Cricetulus griseus: one gene and its partners. The protein of the gene in region 1 interacts with the protein of each later gene in a pairwise test. Links are inferred from orthologs where the notes say so. Each region holds a gene or a part of one and is shown on either strand. Other genes may lie near its edges.

Evidence for each region.
Region 2: the proteins of Bag6 (region 1) and Dnajb11 interact in a two-hybrid assay, tested with the Homo sapiens proteins (2 studies listed by BioGRID and IntAct). The link is inferred for Cricetulus griseus from reciprocal best matches to the Homo sapiens genes BAG6 and DNAJB11.
Region 3: the proteins of Bag6 (region 1) and Tac1 interact in a two-hybrid assay, tested with the Homo sapiens proteins (2 studies listed by BioGRID and IntAct). The link is inferred for Cricetulus griseus from reciprocal best matches to the Homo sapiens genes BAG6 and TAC1.
Region 4: the proteins of Bag6 (region 1) and Atxn2 interact in binary tests that used the Homo sapiens proteins (3 or more experiments, as listed by UniProt). The link is inferred for Cricetulus griseus from reciprocal best matches to the Homo sapiens genes BAG6 and ATXN2.
Region 5: the proteins of Bag6 (region 1) and Serpini2 interact in a two-hybrid assay, tested with the Homo sapiens proteins (2 studies listed by BioGRID and IntAct). The two-hybrid records come from large-scale screens. The link is inferred for Cricetulus griseus from reciprocal best matches to the Homo sapiens genes BAG6 and SERPINI2.
Region 6: the proteins of Bag6 (region 1) and Rnf126 interact in binary tests that used the Homo sapiens proteins (3 or more experiments, as listed by UniProt). The link is inferred for Cricetulus griseus from reciprocal best matches to the Homo sapiens genes BAG6 and RNF126.
Region 7: the proteins of Bag6 (region 1) and Klhl12 interact in binary tests that used the Homo sapiens proteins (3 or more experiments, as listed by UniProt). The two-hybrid records come from large-scale screens. The link is inferred for Cricetulus griseus from reciprocal best matches to the Homo sapiens genes BAG6 and KLHL12.

What each region holds. Positions count from the first base shown.
Region 1 is NW_023276806.1:231,657,330-231,661,489, reverse strand, and holds the start of Bag6 (large proline-rich protein BAG6), read right to left. Parts: upstream 2,801-4,160; 5' UTR 2,777-2,800; intron 2,573-2,776; exon of another isoform or gene 2,314-2,572; intron 2,283-2,313; exon of another isoform or gene 2,092-2,282; intron 1,781-2,091; exon of another isoform or gene 1,639-1,780; intron 1,538-1,638; 5' UTR 1,525-1,537; coding exon 1,417-1,524; intron 1-1,416. UniProt on the Homo sapiens protein: ATP-independent molecular chaperone preventing the aggregation of misfolded and hydrophobic patches-containing proteins.
Region 2 is NC_048597.1:65,997,757-66,001,910, forward strand, and holds the start of Dnajb11 (dnaJ homolog subfamily B member 11), read right to left. Parts: upstream 2,801-4,154; 5' UTR 2,618-2,800; coding exon 2,550-2,617; intron 1-2,549. UniProt on the Homo sapiens protein: As a co-chaperone for HSPA5 it is required for proper folding, trafficking or degradation of proteins.
Region 3 is NW_023276806.1:217,573,199-217,577,318, forward strand, and holds the start of Tac1 (protachykinin-1), read right to left. Parts: upstream 2,801-4,120; coding exon 2,678-2,800; intron 1,712-2,677; coding exon 1,615-1,711; intron 1,134-1,614; coding exon 1,089-1,133; intron 594-1,088; coding exon 570-593; intron 1-569. UniProt on the Homo sapiens protein: Tachykinins are active peptides which excite neurons, evoke behavioral responses, are potent vasodilators and secretagogues, and contract (directly or indirectly) many smooth muscles.
Region 4 is NC_048597.1:101,568,783-101,572,796, forward strand, and holds the start of Atxn2 (ataxin-2), read left to right. Parts: upstream 1-1,214; 5' UTR 1,215-1,229; coding exon 1,230-1,855; intron 1,856-4,014. UniProt on the Homo sapiens protein: Involved in EGFR trafficking, acting as negative regulator of endocytic EGFR internalization at the plasma membrane.
Region 5 is NW_023276806.1:78,476,149-78,479,648, reverse strand, and holds part of Serpini2 (serpin I2), read right to left. Parts: intron 2,084-3,500; coding exon 1,889-2,083; intron 1,777-1,888; coding exon 1,584-1,776; intron 1-1,583.
Region 6 is NC_048598.1:100,566,802-100,569,504, forward strand, and holds the end of Rnf126 (E3 ubiquitin-protein ligase RNF126), read right to left. Parts: intron 2,365-2,703; coding exon 2,271-2,364; intron 2,190-2,270; coding exon 2,074-2,189; intron 1,187-2,073; coding exon 1,037-1,186; 3' UTR 501-1,036; downstream 1-500. UniProt on the Homo sapiens protein: E3 ubiquitin-protein ligase that mediates ubiquitination oF target proteins. Depending on the associated E2 ligase, mediates 'Lys-27'-, 'Lys-29'-, 'Lys-48'- and/or 'Lys-63'-linked polyubiquitination of substrates.
Region 7 is NC_048598.1:54,763,753-54,767,252, forward strand, and holds part of Klhl12 (kelch-like protein 12), read right to left. Parts: intron 482-3,500; coding exon 367-481; intron 1-366. UniProt on the Homo sapiens protein: Substrate-specific adapter of a BCR (BTB-CUL3-RBX1) E3 ubiquitin ligase complex that acts as a negative regulator of Wnt signaling pathway and ER-Golgi transport.

The DNA of each region.
Region 1 (4,160 bases):
CCTGTCTCGAAAAACAAAACAAAACAAAACAAAAACAAAAACAAAAATGAATAAAGTCTTAAAAACATTTTTTTTGAAGCCAGGTGGTGGTGAACATCTTTAATCTTAGCAGACTCTGTGAATTCTAGGCCAGACTGCTATACAGATTGAGTTCCAGGATAGCAAGAGGTACACAGAGAAACCTGGGGGGATGACACACCTGATACACCCTCAAACAACCATTTCCACCAATGGCAAGTAATACTGGGTTGGGATCCAGGGTCTGGGAAGATAACTAATGAAGAAGTAAGAAGGGAGCCCAGGAGGTTTCCTAGAGTTCAGGGGTAGGTACTTTGTGCTAGGTCCAGGGTTCAACACCAGTAGGAACATCCCCCCCCCAATAAGGGGAGGAGGGAAAATGAAGAACCCAAACAAACCAACGTGGTAGCACACACCTGAGACCCCCAAATTTGGGAAGCAGAGACAGGAGGATGACGAATCCAAAAGACAATCAGTTCTAAGACACTTAAAACCCTACCTCAGCCAGGCAATGGTGGAGCACGCCTTTAACCCCAGCACTCGGGAGGCAGAGGCAGGCGGATCTCTGAATTTGAAGTCAGCCTGGTCTACAGATAAAGCTCCAGGACAGAGAGGGCTACACAGAGAAACCCTATTGGGGAAAAACTAAACAAAACAACCTAAAACAAGTCAGGTATGCTACACCTAAAATCCTAGCACAGAGGATGGAAGTCAGAAGGTCAAAGCCAGCCTGAGCTCTATGAGGTATTGCTGTCCCTACCACCCCCAAAAAGAATCTTCCAAATTAGACAGTAACTCTTGGTAAGGGCCATCAGACACCTACTCACGAAAGTGTACCCGGTGTTCCCAATGTTTTATAAAACCACGAAAGTGACCCGTTCATGATTTGTTCCCGAAAAGATTTATGCAGTAAAGACAAAGATAACTGTGCCCACACTGCACCCTGTAAGCTCGGGAGGTTCAAACCACCCCTCAAGATATTGGCAATCCTCCTGAACAGAGCACAAAAGCAGGCTCCCGGGATCTATAAATACAGTGTTAAGGCCGAGAACAAGTTGTTCAAAGACAGAGCAAACACAGCACACTTGTCTGAGGCCCCGGTGCTGCTTCCGGTCCCCCAGGCCGGAATCATCCGTGTCCCTGTGGGCAGAGGTCCGCCCAGGCCAGGTACAGATTCCTCCGCGGCATTTCCCTCTCCACCGAGCTCCACCGAGGTGAAGGCGGGCGGAACAAAACCTGCCTCACTCAACGGTAACCACACCTCCTCACTCAACAGGAACATCAGAGGTTCTACCGAGGGAGGGACAAAGGAGTCGGTGACAAGACAAGCAGGCTCGCCCCTCGGAAGGCACACGAGCGAAGCGGGCACACACACCGCCGCCTCTCCCCCCGCCTCACCTGGGCCCCCACAATGAACGTCCGAGTCTGAGAGTCCAGGGTCTTCACCAGGACCTCCAGGCTGTCGGGCTCCTCCATAGCGGTCCTGGCACTATCGCTCGGCTCCATGGCCGACAGCTCTCTACGGAGAGACGAGGGAGGGAGGGGGTGGTTCGCCGCCGCCCGCTCGCTCGCCCGCTCGCCCGTCAGTCCGTCCGCCCGCCCGCCCCGCCTTCTACACACCCGGAAGAGCGTCCGGGCCCGGCCTCCGCCCCGATCCCTCTCAAAGTTTCTCATACACAAACACATCCACTCGTCCTCGCCCTCATCGCCCCCTCCTCGGCCCCGAGGCCCGGGAGGAGAAACACAAAGGGCAGGAGGGGGACGGCACCGGGAGGCGAAGGGCGAGCGGTGGGAGGGGCTCCACGGTGCCAATCACGGTCGGGAGAGCCAGTTGGGCTACGAGCCGGGCAAGCAAGCACGAGACCGACCGGACACCAGTTGTCATCACCGGTCGCGACCCAGCAAGCGCCCGAGAGAGCGGGAGAGCCGAGGACAACGCGAGGGGGGGGCGGGGGGAGGGTCGGGTCGCGCCGCGCCGCGCCGCGCTCGGCGGACAAAGTGGCTCCGCGCACGCGCGCCACGGCGATCGAACCCGCCTCAAGCACCACAGGCGCCGGGGACGCGGACACTCACGGGAGCCCGACCGGCTCGCTGGCCGCCCGTCCTTCCGCCTCCGCCTCCGCCGGCGTTGCAGCAGCAGCGCGCGCGGCCCGACACGCGGCCCCTCACATACAGACACACGGACACACAGACACACGCACACACACGCACGCACGCACGCACGCACACACACACACGGCGAGGCGCGGCGCAGCGCCCCGCGGCTCCGCCCCCCCCGCCGGCTCCCCGCCGTACCGTCACTTCCGGCCTCCCCCAAGCGGGCACCACAGGCCACTTCCGTTTCCCCGATCGTATTTGGGGCTCTCGAGGCGGTACTTCCGGCTCCCCCAGGCTCCCCCCAATCTGCTTCTGCGGGGCACGACGAGGAAGTCCGCAGCCCCAGACAGTGAGTTCCCAGGGGCCGAGACGGGCCGGGGCCGGCCTAGATGGGAGGGAGCCGACCACCCCGAGGAGCCGCCGCCGCCGCCGCCGCCGTCGCCCGGGGGACCGCACTGCGCCTGCGTGAGCCGCGCGGCGCGTGCGCACACCGCAGCCCCGCCCCCCGCCCCGCCCCGCCCCGCCTCGCCTCGGGCTGCGTGCGTTTCTCCGCCGCCCCCCGCCCCCACCCCCACGGCGCGCGCCCCGCAAGCGCCGCACGGCCGAGGTGGCCGCCGTAACGCCTGAAGGAAACCCTCGCTGAGCGGGATGCCGCCCCTACCCGGAGAGACGCTGTGGACGCCCGTGGGGGACTCGTGGGGCTGTTGCACGCCGTGCGCCTGCGTCCGCGTTGGGCGGGCAGAGGAAACGCACGGGCACAGCCCTAGCCACCTAAGCCCCGGCAGGGCCTCTGGTCCTCCCGCACTGCCTGCGCTCCCGGAAGCCGCTCCCCCCCGCCCCCCGCCGCCCGACGGTTGGACGTTCCGTGGGCCGTGTGCGCTCGCACCCGAGCCGGACCGGGCGGCTGCGCGCCTCGCAGACTGTGGCGTGTGCTGAGGGTCGTTGGTTGGTCGAGGGCGCCCGAGGGAGCGCCATGGTTCAAGACCACCGAGCGTTTCGCCGCTGGTGGAAGCGGGGCCGGCGCGCGCCTGTGACCCCGGCCCCCGGAGGCCGGCCTGGGCTACGCCGGGAAGCGCTAGCGCTCTGGAAAAGACAAGACCAAGCAAACCCCCAGCGCGCGTGCCCGGGCCACAGGGTTAAAGGGCGAGAGAAGGGGTTGGGGGTTCCCCGCTCATCCCCGCCGGCAGTGAGCACTGTTTAGTGAGCAGTGGTTGCTTTGTCCCAGCCTGAATGCTGAGGCTTTCACCGTGTTCCCCTGAAGTGCCTGGAACTCCTCACGCCCCACAGCCCCACAGCTCCACGCCACTGCCCGGGGCTGGCATTAAAGTCGCCCTGTGGCACCCGGCCAGACGTCATTTATTTATTTTTCTGAAACGCGGTTCTCACTATGTAGATCTGGCTGTCCCGGAACTCAGGGATCCACCCACCTCTGTCCTAAAAACATTTTTTTGGAGGGGGAAGGGGGGGCGGCGGGCTATGTGCCTTGCATCTACCACAGCAGCCTAAGTGTGGAGAAACATACCGGAGTCCCCTTCCCACTGTGGGGACCTGGGGATCAAAGCCAGGTCCTCAGGCTTGGCTTGGTATCAAGCACCCTAAACCCACCTTTTAGTGTGTCCTCATAAAATTGGAAGGGCTGGAGTGGGAGGGCACTTGCCCGGCAAGCCCAAGGCCTTGGGTTTGATCCCTTGCTCCCACACACAAGCCTGAGCATCACTCCAATAGAACGGTCATGCCTATCACCGCCCACGTTTTTGTGATTGCTTTGTAGCAAGATAGTAAGTACCAAGGGTGGCCTGAATGGCAGTCGGACTCTGGCCAGCGTGAGTGTGTCCAGCATGGATCTGGCGATCCTTACCCTTCTCTTACTCCCTCTCCCCTGCTCAAAACTGTTAGGTTACATTCCTGAAGATAGTCACCATTGTAGGGATATATTTGTGACTTATTAAAGCTTGCCTGAGGATTCAGGAAGCAAACCCTTTTTGGCCACTACCTCTCCCTGAGGCTGACTACCAAGATCAGCTATCAAAGTATTGAAGTCCAGC
Region 2 (4,154 bases), on another chromosome or scaffold:
AAACACAGAGAGACCGGGGATTCTGAACATAGGTACCCTGTATGAGTGGATGTTTCCCTTAGAAGACATAGATTATGAAGTGAAAATCTCAGTGCCAGGTGTGGGAAAACTCCCTATGAGAGTTATAAGTCAGGGAGGCCCCCAGACAAGAAGCTTCACCATTGCCCATCATAACGGAAGCCCCATTGCTGATGACACACATTTTGGTTACCGGACACAGAGAAATCAAACTGAGTTGACATACAAAATTCCCGCCTTCTGGCCAGCTTTCACAGTGTCAGAAGGTTACGTAGGTTGTGTGAGGAGGAAAATTACTAATATTGACCAAAAAAGCAAGATAGTCCCACATCTGGTACAATAGTGATGTGAAGATTATGAGGTTAACCCACTGCTTTCTGACTGGACTTGAGGCCTGCTCCACAGAAGGGAATTCCTATCTGGTACTGTAAAGCTGAAAACCCGTGGCTGGCGAGGTCATAGGCCATGGGGGACAGGGAGACCTATTACTGTTGTTTTGCTAAGCAGACATGTGATTTTTAGGTTGTATCTATAATTAATACTATATCATGTAAATATTTAGGTTATATCTATAGATTCACACACTCTCAGCCTTGGTCATAGAGACTTCTTTTTACGGTGGCAGTAAATGTATCAACATAACTGGTCAAAGTGTGGAGAACAGGTAACTGCTGAGTGTTCAATCTTAAACAGAATATCTATTCCAACCTTCCCCCGCCTCTCCCCAAGTCTCCAAAGTTCAGGAACATTGTGGGAGATGGGGCAGAAAGGATGTAAAAGCATGGGAAGGGGAGGAGTGCTGTCAAATTCTGTCTTCTGGATATGGCACTCACGAATATACTCAAGTTATGGCTACCTGAACAAGACCTTTGAAAAGAGCAAGCCAATACCATTAGTCACCACTCCAGCAGCTACATCAACTAACTGGACTCAGTGAGTTACTGGATGTGGGAAGGGGCATGTTGGTGTGTGTGTGTGTGTGTGTGTGTGTGTGTGTGTGCTCGCGCTCGCGTGTGTATCTGCGGGATTTTGGGTAGGTATGATTACACTGTATGTGTATGAAACTGACAGAGAGTAAGTAAAAGACTTTTTAAAGGGGGGAAAAGGCTAAATGACAGCTCAGAAAAAAATGGCCGTCAACATTATGCTCCCCAGAGGCTACTTTATGAGTGACTGAAGTTTAAAGCTAAAGTATTAAAAGCTATTAGTATTTGCCAGGAATGGTCACCCATGTCTGCAATCCTAGCATGTGGGAAGTGGTGGCTGAAGGAGCATGAAGGAGTTCAAGATTGCCCTCAGCTACATATTGAGCTGGAGACCAGAATACCTCAACTTCCAACTCCAAAATTTTATGTTGACGTTTTGTTAAATGCTTTGGGTACTCATGAGCTTAATCAAACTAAGGGGAAACAATAAAGAATATGTAAGAAATGTGAACTTTTAGAAATTTAAAATATTTCACAAGGAAAAAAAATGACAAAATTTAAGCATACATGCAAAGAGTAAAAAACATAAGGAAACAACTTTAAAAGCTATTTGAGGTAATGCAGCAACCTACAGACTGTCAGACTCTGACACCCACTAGTTTTTGGTGTGTTTTTATTTTTGTGGTTACTTATTTATTTGAGATAGGGGATGATGTAGGCTTGGCAAGCCTGAAACTCCCTCTGGAGCTGAAGATGACCTTGAATTCTGATCCACCTGTTTTCATCTGCCAAAAGCTGGGGTGAAGGGTTCCAGCCCTCAAGAACACAAGTCTGATGTACCATATCCTTAGTCATGGGAACTATAAGGTCGTGCATTTTAAATGCTGGGAGATAGATTCTCAAAGTCTGCTCTTTCTCCCTGAAGGGAGGCACAATGCTCCCCTGGTTTCAGAACTTCGGTAAAGTTCCTTCAAACTTGTATGATTCATAAGAGTGGCAAAAGGCTAGAATCCCAGTTTTCTCACCCGTTCGTGAAGTGCTTTTCCTACTTATACCATCCAGCTCAAGGAACCATGGAGAGAGACAGTGAGGCAAGATGACAGTTCAGGCTCGCTAGCCCAAGAAGGTGGAAAGTAGGTTCTCTAAAGGTCTTGTTGCTTCCTCAAGCCAGTTTACTCCCGCGTGAGCTTGGCTTCCTTACCTGCATCTGACTTAAGAGCATCATGGCCCACCCACTTTAGTGTCAGGTCCTCGGAGGCTTGTTGCAAGCTAGGTAACCCACCGTCCCACCCTCCAGTTCAGCAAAGACGTGTCCATAACTTCAACCCCAGCTTGGCACTCACTCCCTTCCTCGGAGTTCCGTGACTCTACTACCGCTCACAGCCACTTAACTCCTTCCAATGCACAAACGTAGCATTTGGCACTGCAACCAACTCCTGCTCTTGTGGGCACTCTGGCTCCGCAGGGCCAGCCCGGCCCTCACTGCCCCTCCGTCCCTCGGCTCGGCAGTGCCGCTCCCTCACTGCCCCCTCCTCGATGCCACCCGCGTCCTTCTCAGCAAAGGCCGCCCCTCGGGCCCCGTGCCGCGCGGAGCCCCTTCCTCACCCGGCCATCACAGCCCCGATGAGGTACAGCAGCAACAGGCAGAAGGTGCTTAGGTTCTGCGGGGCCATGGTGTCGCCTGGTCCCGCACTCTCAGCCTCCCGTGCCGCTGCGTCTGCTGACCAGCCCTTCCGGCCCTGAGAGGCCGCCTCACGCCCGGGTCTCTTGCCGGGCCGCCGAGACAGCTAGCGCGCCCCCTCCTCAGCTGCCACTTTCCGGGAGCCCCAGAGCCGGCGAGCAGCCAGGCATGGGCCAATCGCCGCCGGGGACATCACACGCGGCCGCCACTCCGCAGCCAATCAGCGCGGTACACTTCACCTCCGAGGCGGCTCGGACAGCCAGTCAGACAACGGAACTGCCGCCGCTGCTGCCGGCCAATGGGAAGAGGAAACGTCAGAGGTTCGCGCCGCCCGGAAGTGCCTGCGAATAGGAGAAAATCTCAGGCGGAGGGGAGCGCGCTGCGAGGAAACCCGAGTGGTCCACCAATCGGGAGACTCCTTCCCAGCTCTGACCAATTGCTCGCAAGAGGTCTTAACTCGGTTTTCCAGTCTGGAAACTACGTCGCGTGCGCCCGGGACGCGCGGGATCCCTGAGGTGCAACCCCAGGAGGGTGGGCGATCACTCGGTGTCAGAGTACTTGGGGCGCCTTACCTAAGGATGCGATCTCACAGTACAAATTTAGTACATATAGTCTCGATTTCGTAGAAAAGAGGCCCGGTACCTTATAGAGAAGCCGCCGCGGAGACCGACTTAAGTTCAGATTCGGCTTCCAGCACTTCGCAGCGGTGAGACATCCCCACCCCCACCCCGCTTCCGAACCCGTTTTCGACAAAACTTAAGGCGTGGCGGCGTTCACTGGTAGTGTTGGGAATTTTTAATTGACATGTTTTCTGTAAGTTTTCCAGTAGAGTTGCACATAGTAAGCATGCAATCAATAAAAGCCGTTATTATAGTTCGGAGCAGAGCTTGTTCGTTGGTTCTTTTCTCCAGTTTTGTTAACTACAGAAAGCTAGTTGTTTAGCAAAGCCTCTCCTCTTAGCTTTGCTTCCTACATGAGCTATCTAGATCTTTACCAATGAACGGTATCTTGATTATGTCCAGTACAGCTCCATCTCTGGCCCAAGTCACAATTATCTCTTGCTTGCAAAGGTCTCTTAACGATCTTCTCCCTCCAAACTTTATATATCGATCCATTATTTTAATGTACTCCTACTCTCCACCCCATGATCGTGTGCATGCGTGAGCGCACTAGGGACCTGGAGACCACAGATTAGACTAGGCAGGTGGACTTGGAAGACCAAGGTCCTGTCTCTGTCTCCCCAGCTCTGGGGTTTCAGGCGGTTGTTGCCGCAGTTGCTGCTATGCGTGGAATTCAAGGTCTCCTGTTTATACAGCAAGTAAGTGGCAAGCTTTATGGACTGAACTATCTCCCCAGCGTCCTCGTGATTTTTAAAAAGTATTTCAGATCATGTCACTCTCCTGCTTAAAAGCCTCTAATGGCTTTTCAATGTACTAAAAGTAAAATGTCAACTCTATTGTAACTTACAAAGCTGTCTAGTTTAACAATCAGTATCCTCACCTCTTAAAATGTTCCAGAATAATCAGCTT
Region 3 (4,120 bases), about 14 Mb from region 1:
TATAAATACATTCTAGTACCACAGTTCTGCATCTTTGCTGTCCTATGTCAGGCTTCCCATTCAATTATGGGACCAAGGGGGAAAACAGCACCACATCCATATCCGTTTTCACATTTGAAGTGGATTTTCTGCTCAGATGGTCTCCCACTCCATTTAATTAGCAGCTGAATAACCAGCCTCCTTACCATTCCAAGATGCAGTTCATGAACATGAGTTGGAAGATGTATGTAAGTGCTCTTTTCTGTAGTGCTCATGGGTGGGAGGTCGAGACGGAAGCTCGTGATGGATGTTTAGCCCTACAGTTGAAATCCTATAAGTAAAAATCTACAGGTCTTAATTCTTTTCCCTTTCTAAAAGTATTATATGCTTTGCACTGCAGTATGCCTACACAATAGTTTAGTCACAGTGTTTATTCATCAAATTGCATTCCAGATATGACTTTTGTTGTCCTACAATCATCTTAATTAAAATTATTGGGCCCCATGTTATGCCTCAAAGGGTGGCACGAAGCAGAATTCAATGCCACTACCAGTAGCATTTGATAAATGTCAAAATAATAGTGAACTTACTTTTGTGAGAGATCTGGCCATGCCCTAGAAGAAAAGAAAAGCAGTTGGTAGACACGCAGATTTCTTTTGAAAAGCTACTTCAAATCTTTTACAGAGAACTTAAAGACTTATTTTCAAAATATGTAAGACTTCCTATTTATGTACCATCTTGAGGAATCAAGTAGATGAACATTAACCAATTTATTAATGAAAGCCAAATACTTTAACAACCAAAGGAATGTGTATTGAATAACCTCAGTGGGCCATGGGTTAAAAGGCAGAACCGGGGACTTGAGCTCTGTTAATAATAGCAAGGGTATATAATGTACCGACCTCAAGATTGGTCACCCACTGGCTCCACAGGAGCAGGAGCTCAACACACACCTGGACACACACACACACACACACACACACACACACACACACACACACACACCCTCTTAATTAGGAATAATTGCAAGACCTTCTGTTTGTACCCTTAAAATCCTTTCTTACATGACCACTCATAATAGTAAAATAGAGATTTATAGGGATGTTTACCATAAAGAGCCTTTAACAGGGCCACTTGTTTTTCAATTGAGGAATCTGACAAGAGATGAATTGGCATTAACTCTTCACAAGCTCCACTCACTGCGTCATCAACTCAAGGCAATGGAATGAGTGTTTCTCTCACTGAAGCAAGGGGTAGCCAAATCTACCCCAAATCCCAGAAACACTATATATAGCTTCTTTCACCCCAAGACTGGACCAAGCCTACCTGGAGGCCCTTGAAATTTGGACCCTTAGTCAGGGAAGTGTTTCGCTAATGTTAGTTCCCAGTTTGGGTCACTTTGGTGCTGAGAAGGATGAGAAATGGATCTTGCCCCCTCCTTCCCACCCCCCCCCCCATCAGCCCGTGGACTAGTGCATATGCTAATGAAGTGCCGATCAGAGTCTTCCGGGAAATCACAAGTCTTTGGGTGTGTAAATTTTTACTCTTAGAGCAAGAGACTCTTGGGTGCTCCAGGAAGGAGCAAGCATGCAGATCAGGTAGCCTGATAGACCTAGTGACTATTGCTCATCTCACCAGCATCCCGTTTGCCCATTAATCCAAAGAACTGCTGAGGCTTGGGTCTCCGGGCGATTCTCTGCAGAAGATGCTCAAAGGGCTCTGGCAGCGCCTCCTGGGGACAAACCCGCGTGCAGACAACGTGAGTGAACCCAGGCCAGTTCCATCATGCGCCCCAGCTTCTCCGGGAGCTACAGATCCCCTGTGATCCTGTGATCACACGAGTCCAGGCCACACAAGAATCTATGCAGCACTCTCCCCGACTTGACCCCGCCTGGGACTTCCTTCTCCCCAAAGTGTACCCTGGGTGTCCCTGCCCAGCCTCACAACCCCTTCTGGTCCTGTGCATTTTCTGCTCTTTATCCCATCAGAAGACTCACTCAAGGTCTCACTACCACCTTTGTCTGTTGTCAGCGCGGCTTCAGAGACCTCCCTCCCCCGAGTCCTAAGTGCACACAGTAGGGGTGGATGCAGAAGTGTGTCAATACTTTACAAGCGACCCTGCACCACCGCACAACTTTCTCTGTTTCCCAAGGCGCGCTCCTTTGCACGAATAGCTGAGAACCATGTAGAGGGAGACTTGGAACATCAAATACAGGAGTGTGGAGTTCGCTTCCGCCCCCCAGACCCCCGCAGCTCCTTAAGATCCGGCTTTTGCCCCATCGACTGGTTCACTTCTCTGCTCAGCATCTCCAAATTCTCTGGCAGCACCGCTGGACCAAAGCCTCTAAGATCCCATAACTTGGGACTAAAACCTTGCGACCCTTCCAGCCAGTTGAGGACCCAGCTCTTTAGAGAGCATCCATTCCGCTGGGGAGACACTGAACCCAGAACGCAGCCCTCCCGCAGGGAGGAAACTAAGTTCTGGGCGCACAGCCTTGTGCGGGGATCGGGGTGAGGGTGTGTGTGTGTGTGAGTGTGTGTGTGTGTGTGTGTGTGTGTGTGTGTGTGTGTGTGTGTGTGTGTGTGTGTGTGTGTGTGTGTGTCGCCCATTACATCCTACTGCGTCTCTCCGGCTGGGCTAATCAGGGTGCTAACCACAAGGGGAAGGGAACAGCTCCCACGCCCGGTTGGGTCTCACCTTGATCTGGTCACTGTCGGACCAGTCGGACCAATAGTTTAGATCATCGTTGGCACCGATTTCCTCTGCAAACAGTTGAGTGGAAACGAGAAAAATGACCGCAACGGCCACGAGGATTTTCATGTTGGATTTCTGGGGAGAGTAGGAGAGCGGAGAGGAGACATTACACACACGTAGGCGGTGACCACCCAAGAGTTAGAGCAGCAGAATTTCAGTGCCACAAGAAAGGGAAAACAGGTTCCGCTAAACCAAGATAAGAAAAATCAGAGTTACCATTCCTCCATACCCCTTAGGAGGGAGAATAACGCTCCTTGGAGCCTCAATCCTCCTCTTCCTGAGTCTCAGCGTCCCAGACCCTCAGCCCACCGACCCACGCCCTCAAGCCTGGAAACGCTGCAGGTGGGAGACAATGAGAGACATGGCATTTGCACAATCCCCCGGGTCTGTGGCTGCAGCGGGAGCAAAGCCAGGCTGGACGCCACCTCCGAGCCAGGCAGGACCCGCAACAGGCAGCCACAGCTGGAAGGCGGGAGTGGTACTCACTGCGGTCAGCCCCGCACTGGCTGGGGATGCTCGGCAGGTGCGCACTCGCTGGGCGCTCCTCGCTCTCCTCGGTCGCGGTGCAGGAGTGGAGCAGGTCCGACGTTGTGCGCTCTAGTCCCTGCTCCTGCTTCGCGGTATTTATCACAGGCGTGACGAGCCTGGAGTGCCACGTGACACTCTCCCCACGCGACTTTCTGCTCAATATTTGATTAGCCGCCCCCTCGCCTTTTGCTTGCGTGATGGAGAGTTTCCGAGTCGGTAACCCGTCGGTGTCCGTAACATCTGGACCCAATTGGGTTCGAAATGACGCAATTTTAGGGAAGTCGAGGTCTCGCCACCCAATCCAGAGAGGCCTGTTTTCTTCCGTCTGCAAATCTGACGCCCCCTCCCCTCTTCTTCCGAACAAGGTTCAGTGACACCTGAGATTACTCATCAAAATTGAGCAGAGTGATTCATGCCTCGGACTTGGGGAACTTTTCTCTCAAGAGACCTCAGGAAAAGTTGCGCTTTTGAGAACGGCCAAATCACTTCAGCATTAAAACCTTGTCAGAGATCACGCTGAGACAGGAGCAAGGACTTTAGTGGGCTGCAGGAAGCGTTTTTTCCCCTTCTATTTCTACTTTCATGTGTCTTAAAGGTTGGTGAGGGGGTACATAAAAGGCTGGAACAGTCCTCTCTCCCTAATCAGCCAAATACTCCCCCATTTCTCTGGCATTTCAGAGGATAAAAGCACATTTGCTTTATGTTTGGAGAAAAGAGAAATTTAAAGCTGGTGTCGCATGTAGAATGTACTCATTAGCCATTCCAGGACAGCTTTTCTTCCCCCAAAGCTTCTCTCTCTTCACATCCAGACAGGATCTGAAGAGGATAATCACGCCTCTCCCCTTCTTATTCTCACTG
Region 4 (4,014 bases), on another chromosome or scaffold:
GATAATTTTACCTGCTGAGCCATCTGCCTGGCTACCAGCCCAATTTTTGTAGTTACTTTTTAATGTATGTAAAACAAGCTAGTCTACAGTTGAGCGATCCACTTGCCTTGAGTGTTGGGATTAAAGGAATGTACCATAACCAGGGGTTACTATTTATTTAGTTGCCCCCTTTTAAGCCTGGGTGGCTTGTAGCTTAGCCTCTCCTAGAATTCCCTTATGTAGGTGAAGATGACCTTGAACTTCTAATCCTGCCTCCACTTCCCAAGTGCTCATATTACAGGAACGAACACCATGCCTGACTTTAATTCATGTGAATGATTTTAGTAGAAGGGGGGGAATTTTGCTGTTCTCCAGCCCATCATTTCCAACTAAAAGAGAAAAACAAACAAAAAACCTAAACTCGTTGTCAGAAAGTTACCTACTTGCTACCGATTTAATAACACGTTAAAAAACGGACTACAGTGTTTGGCGGCCTCCCCAAGTTAAAGTAAAACTTCTAAAGGGGTCAAGGTCTGAAGTTCACATTTTTGTGAGGCCTGTTTTTGCCTTCACTGAGGGAGACCCCATTATCCATGGCAAGACCCCATTATCCAGTTCTACCAATCGCGTCCATTTCCTCTGAGTCTCCCCAAGGAGGAATAAGAAGTTCTGGTGAGGGAAAACGGGTTCAAATGAAGGTCAGATGCCCAACACTTCGCTGGGGTGGATAAACTGGGGCAAAGTGAAGCAGCTGGCAGTGGCTTCAGTGGTGGCAAGCTTCCCATGCTGGCAGGGAAACCCGGCGGGCAGTGGCACCTGGGGGCCTACTGTGTACCAGGCCCGGGGTTTAAGGAGGAAACTGCCGGGAGCCTGCGGGCCATCCTCTATATCGTATCTAGTGGAGGAAACCAAGGTCCTCCAAGAGGGCTTAGGACACTAGAGCAGCTCCGGGCGCCCATCCGCGACAGGCCCCGCGGGCGAACACCAGCACTCCCGCCCCGAAGTGCAGACTCTCCTCGGCGAGGGCGGATCCCCGGCGGCCCTCACCCGACCCCCGAGGCGAATACAGCCCAGCTATGGGCCTGCTCCTCACGTGTCCGGATCGGCCCCCAAGCCGACTCACGTTCCACTTCCGCCTGACCCTTCCGACTTCCGGTAAAGAGTCCCCCCCCCCTCACCCCCATCTCCGTTCCGCATCTCCGCGCCCTCCCGTCCGCGTCGCCCCGTGCGCGCCCGCGATCCGGGTTCTCATGCGCCCGTCGACCGCCGCCGCTCAGAGGCCCGCGGCGGGCCCGGAGTCGCGCCGCCTGTCGGGCTGGGCCGCGCGGCGCTCGCTCCCGCGGACTGCGCGGCGCGGCGGGCGGCGGCGCGGCGCCGTATCCCCGCCGGCCCTCCCCCGCGCGCCCCGGCGCCCTCCCCGCGGGCCGCGCTCGCCGCCCTGCGCCTCAGACTGTTTTGGTAGCAACGGCAACGGCGCTTCCCGGCCCGGCTCCCGGCGACTGTTCGGTGTCTGCGGGCCTCCCCGCCCCTTCGTCGTCGTCCTGCTGCCCCTGGCTCCCGCGACCGCGTCAGCCCGCGTCTGCCCGCTTGGCGTCCGCGCGTCCCCGCCGCGCTCCGGCGTCTCCTCAGCGCGCCCGGCTCCCGGCTGTCCCCGCCCGGCGTGCGAGCCGGTGTATGGGCCGCTCACCATGTCGCTGAAGCCGCAGCCGCAGCCGCCCGCGCCCGCCAGTGGCCGCAAACCCGGCGGCGGCCTCCTCTCGTCGCCCGGCGCCGCGCCGCCTGGCCGCGCCGGCCTCGTCTTCCGCGGTGCCGGCCCGGTCGCGCCGGTGGCGTCTTCCTCGGCGTCCACGGGCGGCGGGCGCCCCGGCCTGGGCAGGTGGGTGTCGGCTCCCCAGCCCCCTCCGCGCCCGCTGGGCCGATCCCGCGCTGCTCGTCCCCTCCCCCGCCTCGCCCCGTGACCGGCCCGCATCGCGGTGGGCTGGGGGCCCGCGGAGGGGCGGGAGGCCCCGGAGGATTCTAAGGGTTTCTCGGGCCGTGTCCAGCCTCCCGCACCATCTCGTCCCCTCCCCCAGACGGCCAAGATGGACGGCCGGGGCTGCCCCCTGCCCCTCGCGTGTGTGCGAGGGGCGGTGGGGGTCCCCGCCCCACCCCCTTGCCGCGTCCCCTACCAGCGATGGAAGGGCGGTTGGGCCTGGGTGCAGCAGGTCGCAGGGGTCCCTCTCCTGAAACGAGCCTCTTGGCCGGGAGGAGGAGGAGGAGAAGTTGAGGCCCAGCCGCCCCAGGTAGGGTCGGCCGGTTGTCCTGTGTATCTCCCGCCCCGCAGGCCCTGGGAAGGTGGTCATCCGAGGCGAGGTGGGTGGCTAGCGGCCTCCCGGCACCCATCCCCCTTTAGATCTGGGGCGGCGGGGTTCCCGCAGTGGGCTGCCCTCCCCCAGCTGGGGAAGGGGTGGGAGTGCCCGGCTCCCTTCGGGCCGGCCTCCCTCCTTCCCCGCAAGGTCCCCTGCGCGCGGGTGGTGGCCGATCCGCATTGCTGTTCCTCGTATGGCGAGCAGAAGGCGCCTTTGAATAGAGGTGGGCGAGGGCCGGACTCAAGAGAGGTGGGTTGGCGGCGGGCATCGGACACGCAGCGCATTTTCCGCCCGCAGCCCCTGTCCCAGTTCCTGAAATTTCTAGGGATGAGGAACCGCCACAGAGGAGTTGGTGCGGGTCCTGATGGCAACAACGCGGATGTTGGCTTGCGTCCTTGCGCCCCTCTCCTTTCCTCTCCTCTCCCCTGGGCCCAGTTTTGTTGGTAGGAGCTGGAGGCCTGGTGCTGTCCTGTGTGACTGGGCTTGACTCTGGAGGGTGTGTGCGCGCGGGGGTGGGGAGGGGTGGGGGTGGTTGTCAGTTCGTATTTCACGAACTAAGAAAATGCTTAGTGTTAAAACGGGGAGGCAAATGCCAATAGACTCCATTCCATTGTGGCCAGTGTCCTTAACTTGGGAAGAGCCGCCAGAGCTTACCAAGGGCATGCAAGTCCATTTCCCCTGTGCTCCGAGTCCGTCGTGTTACAGGCACTTCTGTGCTTCCCTCTCGCTTTTAGGCCTGGCTGGCAGAGCCTTGACCAGCCTCCTTAAATAGACATCCAGGACTTAGGTGGGCTAGGGGATTTTTCATGGGCCGAGTTTTCTTTTTAGCCGCATTTCCCAGCCATCCATTTCCAGAGAGTGTTCCTTTACAGCAGAAGTTAACCCGTGGGGTGAATCAGAGCAGGTTTTTAAGGGATTCTGCTGGGAACAGTCTGCTTTTTACTGTATTCCCCCATATTCCTAATTTTCCCTAGCGTGAGACATTTCAAACCCTGCTTAGCCTGCCTAGTTCAAATTAACACCCCCCCCCCCAGCTGGGTGAAGTTAGGGTTCTATAACTTCAGTTTCATTTTTTTTTTTGTCCTTGACTTTTAGTGAAAACCGAAAAATATTTAAATTTAACTTTAAGGATGTGTCTTGTTTAATTTGCTTTTCCATGATTTTTCTCTAGTTATCAGAAAGTGGCAGGTGTATTTATCTTGTTCAGATACAAATTAAAACTTAAGTTTCTAATCTTCACTATCTCTTTAGGTGTAAAGATTAGATTATGGTGGAATTGCTCTCCAGGAACGTGAGCATCCCACATGAGCAAGGCCTGAGTACTGGTAGTCCCTTTCTGGTCTTGAGCCTCCTCAAAAACTAAAGGCAGTTAGCATTTTCCTTGCTTTAAGCTCTTAAAGCATACATTTTAACATTTACTCTTTTGACAGTTTTTTATCCAATACCGGACTCAGAATATGTCATTTTTTTGTACAGAGCCTTGATTGATGTTAACACTGGTAGAATTGCTGTAAGTTCCTAGTCTTCTCTGGTTTCTTTGTAAATCCATTACAACTTCTAGGATTTTGCTTGGGTTTGTGTCACTTAAAATAAGACTGGCAACATGGTTGAGGAAAGGAGATGTAGTATTGGAGACTGGTCAGATGGTTCACTGGATAAAGGTGCTTGCTGCAAGGCCTGTCAACTA
Region 5 (3,500 bases), about 150 Mb from region 1:
AGCCGAAGTAAAGTCCCACAGCTAAGCACTGAACCAAACTCCTGGAATCCAATTGTAGAGAGGGAGGAGTGATGAGCAAAGGGGTCAACACGAAGCTGGGGAAACCCACACAAACAGCTGACTTGAACACATGGGGGCTCGTGTACTGACAGCTGAGGAACCAGCATAGGACCAAACCAAGCCCCCTGAATGTGGGTGTCAGCAAGGAGGCCTGGACAGTCTATGGGGCCTCTGGTGGAACAGTATTTATCCCCAGAGTACAAATTGACTTTGGGAGCCCATTCCCCATAGAGGGACACTCTGTCAGCCTAGACACGTGGGGAAGAACCTAGGCCCTACCCCAAATGATGTGACAGACTTTGATGATCCCCCATGGAAGGCCTCAGCCTCCCTGGGGAGAAGAAGAGGGATATAGGGATAGGGGCGCAGAGGTCAGTGGGGAGCATGGGAGGATGGGAGGGAGAGGGTACTGGGATTGACATGTAAAATAAGATTGTTTCTAATTTTAAAAAAGAAATAAAAAGAGGCATTTTTGCAACAATGCAGAGTATAGTATAGCTGGTTTTGTTCTGAGCCTTATTTATGTTGCTAACTCTAAGGATTGCTGGGCTCTACCAGAAGCTAGAAAGAGCAAGGGCAGATTTGAAACACAGTCTTAAGGTCAGTGTGGTTCTAATAACAACTTGAGTTTGCAGTTTTAGGCCATAATTCAGAGATAATTATTTTTTTCATTGAAATCAACTAACTTGTTCTTGTTCCTTTTTTACAGTAGCTCTGGAAAACTGATGACACTGCTTGAATTGTTCCAATTTACCAGATCTTCACTTACCAGTTTAAAGACCATTATGTGCTCATTCAGATAAAAAGAAATACAGTACTGAATGATACATTTTAAAACCATCACTGAAGGTAGTGTCACAAAGCTGCAGAGTCAACACAACAGAGTCAGTGGGATCATGAGATTGGTTCCAGCCTGGGCTACATAGTGACTGCAGAATGAACATGGGCTACACATAGATACTCTTTGGAGCAGGGGCAGAGGTGGCTGAAACCTATCAACATGACAATATTTACTGAGCCTATGTAATTTTCATCCACTGTTCATATATAAAACACATTATTCAAGTAAAAAATGGTTAATTTGGGGAAGATGTATTTCAGAACTTTGAATTTCTGATTTTAGTTCATAGGAGTAGAGACCAGATCTGTAAGAAGTGAGGGGAAATACTGAGGGGAGAACTTCTTCAATGGGGTTACGGAGTAGGAATTAGATATTGAGGAGTGAGGGGAAAGAGTGAGCAGCAAATAGTGCAAACCATAGTATAGGACTATGAAATTCTCTGTTAATAAAATGCTACGTCAAAATATAGGAAGAGAAGTTTGTCACACGGGATAGAATATAAACTGTTATTCTGGGCATTATTTACTCTGAAGGTTCTTTTGTCTCCCAAAAGCCTATTAGTGTGTATAAACATTGCTTCCTATGGCAATCCCTTGGAATTTCAGTGGAAAGTTATCTTATCTTAACTGGCCACAGGATTCCATTTACAATCCAGAGATCAGTAGCACAGAACATGACCCACCGAGGGAGGCTGACCTCCACTTCCTCCTCGTGGAGCTCAGAGAACCATCTCTGGATGTGATGCGCAGTAACTCGCTTTTCCACTTCTTCTAGATTCACATCTTCTGTGGGAAGGATGATGACTATACTAAATTCATCAGCCTTGTAAGGCAATTCCAAAACCTGGAACCTCATGAGTGACTCGGAAAAATAACCTGAAACAATTAAAGTTCATTAAATATATTTTTTAGTTATCAGCTCCACTGTTTAATATATATATTATATATATATATAATATATATATATATATATAGCTTCTCATGTTACCATAGTTTGTTCTCAACAGAGCTTTCATCATTGGAACCTTGACTGTTAAGCCATCTTTCTTATGAAAATCTGTCATCTCTGTGTCTTCTTTTCTGAACTTCTGTTTCCAGTCCCCCTTGAAATAAATGGCATTTACCAGGACCAGGCGAGTCAGGGGACCAAATTCTTCCTCTGAAAACATATTTTTAATTTTTCCTATAAAGAGGATGGAGAACAAAGAAGGAGAAAAATTAAGTAGTGATTCAAAGAAACAGGCTAAAATAGACTAAACCAAAAAGGTCTTTCAATGAACTGTTTTTGACAGTGTATTGTATCATCTAACCTGAGCAACTGTAAGAGCCAAAGGAAATGCTGCTAAATACTTCCCTAAGAAATATGTGCAAGTAGAAACACCGGGAAATAGGAATTAAGGGTATTCTAGGAAAAAGTAGACAGAACTAGTTATAATTTTTAAAAGTGGTGCATGAGAGAAAGATGCCATGCGACAGAGCTTGGGTGGAGGGGTGGCAGAAAAGAAGAAAGAGAGAGAGAGAGAGAGAAGCAGAGAGAGAGAAGCAGAGAGACAGAGATAGAAAGAGAGCAAGATGGGAGGTAGACAGGGCCCTTTTATAAAGGAACTGAATGTGCTCAGGGCATGTCCTGTCAGAACCCAAGGGACAGGCCAGTACAAATGCCTGAATATTAATACTGGTAATGAACTCTCTGATGAGATGATATCCACAGTTGTTGCTTGGACAAGAAGAGAATTGAAATATGCCTCCCTGAATGTTTATCAGTTTTATTCAGACCTAAGAGCTAAGTTGCCCATAAGGACAAGCAGACTCAGTAAGTCAGTGGTACATCCAAGCTTCTTGCTCTCATGGCTGCAACCAGAGACCAGTGACTACCCTGATTTTCACCTTCAAAACAACCAATCTCTCCTCATCTTACTCTGTGCATAGGCAATTCCTTGTTCCTAACAATATTATGCACTTATTTCACAATCCTGTAAATTCAGATCCTCACCACAATCTCAATGCATAACTCTGTCTTTCAATCTGCTCATGAAGAGTCAAGTAGCAACTCACCCAGTCATAAATTTCTTCAGTATAATCATAATCAAAGAAAAATACTATATGGGTAAAGCACATGTTTATTACAACACATACATTGTTATTAAAGTTTCTAATAACTGAAATATTTCAGTGGTATCTTAATTTTAAAAAGAAGCCAAGCTCACAATGTTCTATACTTTAAACTCACCTCCCTCCTGACCTTAACCTCTGTTTAATGACTTTGTAATTTTTGCTACATCAGTTCTAAAGGTTAGATTAGCATATCTATGATAAGATTGTTAGCATTATTTTTAAACATTAACACAATCAACTAAGATATTTACAGTATACTTGGGAAAGTGACATTTGGAATTGACATAGCTAATATATTCCTGAACAAAGATAGGCCTCCTGTTTCCATACATGAAAAAAAAATCAATGCTTGAACAAAAATTATTGCTAAAATTTTCCCATTCAGAATAGGGGGCTGTCTGGAAATTAATACATTAATCAATATACTTTTCAAAACAGTTCTGTGTTTCCCTGAGTTGTATAATCTAGTGTTAATTTAAATAACA
Region 6 (2,703 bases), on another chromosome or scaffold:
AACCAAAGGCCAATCGGCTGACACACCAGCAGTGCCAGGGCTGAAGTAAACATGGTTCTTGAGGCTCTTCAGGTCCTAAACATGAGAACAGAGTAGGCAGGTCACACTGTTGCTGAAAGCTGACTGCTCCGAGTCTCCCTCATGGACGCTTAGGAGAGGAGGGCTGGGGACCTGCTTACCCAGGACAGTGCTGGCGTGGCTTTGGGTGAGCCCTTATAGATGCTGTGAGTCCATCACTCCCAGCAAAGGCAGGCAAGCAGTATGTGGATGAGACTGCAGGGCCCCTGGTCACAGGCCCCACCTCAAGGCCACCACATGCAGGGCCTGTACTGGATGGCTTCCCACCCAAGTGCCCTGAAGACAGTTGAAATCCCCTCCTGCTCAACACTGCCAAGGCCTGGGTCTCCTCAGGCTTTCACCCAAAGCACAAACCCACCCTGTGAGCTGCCCCCACGTGAGTCATGAACACCCTGGCTGAAGGAAGACGCCAAGCCATGGGCTCTGCTTTTTGAGTAGGTGTATTTTAAATAGCTTTCCAGATAACACACATTTCCCTTAAAAAAAAAAAAAAAAGTCTGCTGGAGCAGTTTGTTCCTGGGTCTGCTGGTCACCCTCGTGGTCCCGAGGCCGGCACTGGCTGGGTGCTGGGCCGGCCTCCCAGGGCATGTGGCGGGCTGGGTCTGGCGACAGTTCTGCTGCCTCCACAGATCATGCATGGCCGCACGTGGCTCAAACGTCCATTTATTTCAAAGCAGTAATAATTTAAAATCATAAAAACCCTTCTGCCGTTGAACATTTGGAGGGTGAGGTTAAAGACGGACTGGAGGCGCCTGCTGGGGACATGGGGCCCAGGTGCTTGCCTCCAAACAGGAGCGGCCATGGCCAAGTCCGAGCCTGTCGCAGCCTGGGGCCCGCCAGGTGCTGCTGGCCACCATGGGGCAGCACCTCTAGTCCACGGCCATGGCGGTGCTAGGGCACCTGGGGCGAGTGGGATGACCGAGCCCCGGGGGTGGGTGGATGGGTGGCCAGGTGGGACTCAGGAGTTGCTTGTGGCATTCTCGTTGCTGGGCGAGCTGGACGAGGATGAGGATGAGGATGAGGAGAAGGCCACCCCAGTTAGGCCTGGGGGATTGGTGGCCGTGTTCTGTCCAGTGAGGCTCTTGCGGCAGACAGGGCAGCTGTCATGCTTGAGAGAACAGAGGAAGAGTTAGAGAGAGGGAGGGGTGGGTCAGGGCCTAGTGTTTTTTGCTTTTTTTGGTTTTTCAAGATGGGGTTTCTCTGTGGCTTTTGGAGGCTGCCCTGGAACTAGTTCTTGTAGGCCAGGATGGTCTCGAACTCACAGAGATCTGCCTGCTTCTGCCTCCCAAGTGCTGGGATTAAAGGCGTGCGCCACCAACGCCAGTTTTTTTTCTTTTTTAAGGAAGGAAGATTTATTTTAACGCAGTTTCTCATGGCTTCCTCAATCAGGAAGCAAAGAGTCCCTAGTTTTTTTAAAAGATTTATTTATTATATATACAGTGCTCTGCCTGCATGTCTGCCTGCAGGCCAAAAGAGGGCACTAGATCTCATAACAGATGGTTGTGAGCCATCATGTAATTGCTGGGAATTGAACTCAGGACCCCCGGAGGAGCAGCCAGTGATCCCAGCCATCTCTCCAGTCCCCAGGGCCTAGGTTAACATCAGGGTTGCGGTCAGAGCCATGATCAGGGTTAGAATTAGAGTCTGGGGTCCAGGTTAGGTGGCAGACGGGCACAGCAGCAAAGTCAGAGTCAATGCCGATGCCAATGCTAACACATAGTCTGACCCAGGAATTTTTCTGGATCTGGGTTGGGGTAGAGTGAAGCCAGGGCTAGCGAGAGGTCAGCCTCAGGGCACAAGTAAGAGTCGGGGTCACAGCTGGAGACAGGCATGACAAAGGCAGGCTTGGAGTTCAGGGAAGGAAGGGACAGTCAGGTAAGTCATGACTAGTGTTAGGGTTGTGGTCAGGATGAGCACAAGGTTTCTGATTGGCAGGCAAGCAGATTAGGGTTAAGGTCAGAGCTGGGTCTAGGTTGGTGGGCAGGGCAGAGTCACCTGCTCTAGCCAGGGCACAATGCAGCTGTCATGGAACAGGTGGTTACAGGGCAACTGCCGCACACTCTCACCCAGCGCGTAGTCGTCTTTGCACACGGGGCACTCCAGCCCTGAGCCTGCAGAGGAAGCAGGCCACTGAGAGTCATGCCACAGAAGGGAGGTCCCTGGGGACTCTGTCCACCACCCCGTGAGCATACCCACGTGCTCCTCTGTGACGGGGACCGTAGGGAGGGCCTGAATCTTCTCCTTGTCTGCAGGTGGGGGGCCCGTGTTCTCAAACTGATTCAGGAGCTGAAAGACAAGGAGCAGTGACCTGAGGGGGACATGGCTCTCAATGGGGCGGCAGGGGTTGGGGAGTCTCCACCTGCCCAGCTCTGCAAGGTTGCAACCAGCAAGATACACCCAACCTATTAAACCTCTGGGCCATCTGAGGCGTACAGCTCTGGACAGGCCACTGTCCTTCCCAGGCCAACAGATAACCTTCAAGAGGAAGGAAAGAAGGGACCAACCACTGAGCTGTCTGATGCCTGAGGGCAGGATGCAGGGGCCTCCGGTGCTGCAGAGCCTGCATCCCATCTGCCTTACTAGGCTGGCCTCCTGGCCCCCCATAGATGCTGAGTAGCTAGTTGT
Region 7 (3,500 bases), on another chromosome or scaffold:
CCACCACATCCAGTTTATATTGTGCTGGGGTCGAACCCAGGGCTAAGGAAAGCATTCTACCAACTGAGCTACAACCCCAGCTCTAAGCCCTTTGTTTAAATGTGAAGCAAAAATTTAATGCTACATAATATATGATAATTTATAAAAATTTTTCTCTCTAATCTCCAACGGTATGTGACATAACGATACTCTCAGATTTTAGGAAATAAAAGCTTACAATGGCAGCGACTTATCTAAAAAGTTTAAAAGATGATCTGAAACAAGTCCATTGTATTCATTACAGATGTTATTTCCAACTATATCAAACCACCTGAAAAGAGTTAGTTGAAAAAGTGTCCCTTCATTCCGCCAGGAGCACCAGCTTACCTAGACGGGCTCTTGTCCTAGGTCCTTGCATTTGACTTCGAAGTTCAGGCCTCAGGTGAAATTTCTTTGCTTCATCAACTAGATCTCTGCACTGTAAACTACAGCGGATGAAAGGCTAAAATACAAAAGACAGGAGTGAACTACACAGGCTACTTCTAATATTGTAAAAACAAAATGACACATATAAAGAAGTATTTTCTGATGTAGACAAGTACGGAAGGATTAGTAAGAATTTTTTTTGAAGTTTTTTTTTTTTTTTTTTAAATTATATACACCGTGTTCTGCCTGCATGTACATCTGAATGACGGAAGAGGGCACCAAATCTCATTACAGATGGCTAAAACTACCATGTGGGTGCTGGGAATTGAACTCAGGACCTCTGGAAGAGCAGCCAGTGCTCCTAACTCCGAGCCATCTCTCCAGCCCAGTTAGTAAGAATTTTAAGGGAAGCTGAGCATGGTTGGCTCACATCTGTAATCCCAGCTCTTAGCAGGCTAAGACAAAAGGATTTCTGAGATTTCAAGGCCAATTTAGAGTGGCATACTAAGTTCTAAGTCAGCCTGATCTAGGTAAGAGTGAGACACTGTCTCAAAAAGACATGCTTTCTCTTTTAGATAAATATGTCTTCTCTGAAATAATTCCCCTAAGGGTCTCTCTCCTTCCCTGCCTTCTTCTTCCCCACCCTTCCCCTTCTTCACCCTTTCTTTCTGACAGTGTCCCTGTAGGTCAGAGTGGTCTCAAACTTACAACACAGCCTAGGAAACTTAAATACCCGCTGCTCCTGCCTTCCCCTCCTGAGTGCTGTGATTACAGGCATGCATTCATTATTAGACCAGCTCCTACATCTATATCCAACAGTGCTCTCTCTATATGAATGGGAAGGATGGCTCACTTTGGTAAATTGCTCACCATGAAAGCATAATGGCATGAGTTCCATCACCAGAACCCACATAAAAAGCCAGACATGTTACCTACCCTACACTAGCAGAAAGACAGGCAGATCTCTGGGCTTGTTGCCAGCCCAATCATAAACTCCAGGTCAACCAATAAGAGATCATATCTTAAAAAACAAGGCAGATGGCCTGAGGACCAGCACCCAAGAGTGACCTCTGGCCCCCATGTACATACACATATACTCACATAGAAAAGAGAACTCTTATTAGCATCTGCTTCCACAGATTCTCTGTTTGCTCTCTGGCATCCATACAAACTGTCAGTAACATCTCCACACTGGGTTCTAGCTGGGATGAGTCCCACTGAAGGTCAAGGCTCCTCTTAAAGCAGTGATTCTACCTACTCTATCCCTTCAGGTTCTGAAAACCACTTCTCCAGCCAGGCTGTTCAGACTGAGAGCTGTTAGCAGCTTAGCTGTTCTGGATCTATCGTCTTCCACTGTCTTCTACTATTTCTCCAAATTTATACCTTTTAGACAGCTCCTTTATACAATACATCTTCCTCAGAACCGTACCATCTGGAGCACACCATGTTTCCAGTTAGGGTCGCTAACTCATAGAAGTTCTTGTTTATTAGCTTAACTCCAACATATTTTTGGTAATGCATTGGAAGAGAAAATAAATAATAGCAATGAATACTGTCACACAAGACATGACTCTAAAAGTTTTTGCATATGAATACTGGCAACAATGTATGAGGGGGTGAAGTCAGTTCTGCTTCACAGAGAGAAAAACCTTTGATCATCTCCCTGAAGGCCACACAGAACACTTGATTTAGGACCGCAGCCTCCTGATTCTGGTTCCAGAATCTATGTACCAAATCACAATGTAAAGACCTAGACAGGAACGTGTAAAGGTTACCTTACCATCAACCTGACTGGTTTAGGAAACACTCAAATGGGTGTGTCCATGAGGGTGTTCCCACCGAGGTTGAACTGAAGAGGTAGGACCTGCCCTTGATGTGGGCCACACTGTCTCATGGGCTGGGAGAAGTTCAGCTGAGTGCCAGCATCCCTTTCTCTACTCCCTGACTGTGGTGCATGTGACCCACTGCTTCATGCTCTCCCTGCTGCCTTCTTCAGGGTGAGCTCTGACTTACAATGGGACTCACTGCACCTTCCCTTATTCCTTAAGTTGCTTGGTCAGGTACTCTGTCACAGCAAGAGGAAGACTAACCAATAGATGTTTTAAAAAAGAAACCACAAATAGCAGAAAATGAATTGAAGATGTGACACTAACTAGCCTGAATTTTTTTTTTTTTAATTTAGGGGAGGTCCTTATTTTTTGATTATTTGTTTAAGATAGGGTCTCATTTAGTCTAGGCTGGCCTTGAACTATTGATCCTACTGCCTCCCTCTACCAACAGTTGAGATTATAGGCCTTCACCACAACAGACCTAGCAAAAAATACTTCTTTCAGTTTATCTGTGTAGCTTTGGAGCCTATCTTGGCACTCACTCTGTAGACCAGGCTTGGCCTTGACCTCACAGAGATCCTCCTGCCTCCCGAGTGCTGGGATTAAAGGCGTGAGCCACCACTGACTGCCCTGCTTCCTATGGATTATTAAGATGATTTCCTCTTCAGCGCCCCACCCCGACCCTGATAAAACAAGGGCTGCAACGGATAGAAAAATAGAACAAGGATATGTCACACAGCTGATGTCTCTTGAGGAGCCATGCAGACTGTGGCTTAGGTTAATGATTAAGAGAAACAATGAATCCCAGAAGCCTATCTAGCTCAAGTTCTTTTAATCTTAATGTTGGGAGATGTGCTCACAGGTTTCAGTGTGCATCATAGCTAAAACAAAGCCTTAAATAATGACTTAAGGTTAGATTAAGACGATTTTGTTAATGGCTTTGGGTTAAAAAATCTTGGAAAACAACTTAAAAGTTTAGAAAGGCACACTTTGAGTAGCTGAGTGAGGGACTCATTGAGGTCAAGAAACAAGAACAATGGCAGGCAGCCTGGCTATTGCTGGCTGACGTACTTTTCTTGTATGATGGGTTGGTGATCAAGGGTGATGATTAATTCCTTGTATCCATTTCTGCCCTTAGCTTCCTGATATATAAGTCTGTTGATGAGTGGGGATGGATACACTCTAAGATTTTACAATAGAGCTGACTAATTCTTTTTCATTTATAAAAGTTTAGATTTTTGATTCTTTTTTTTTAGGATTTATTTA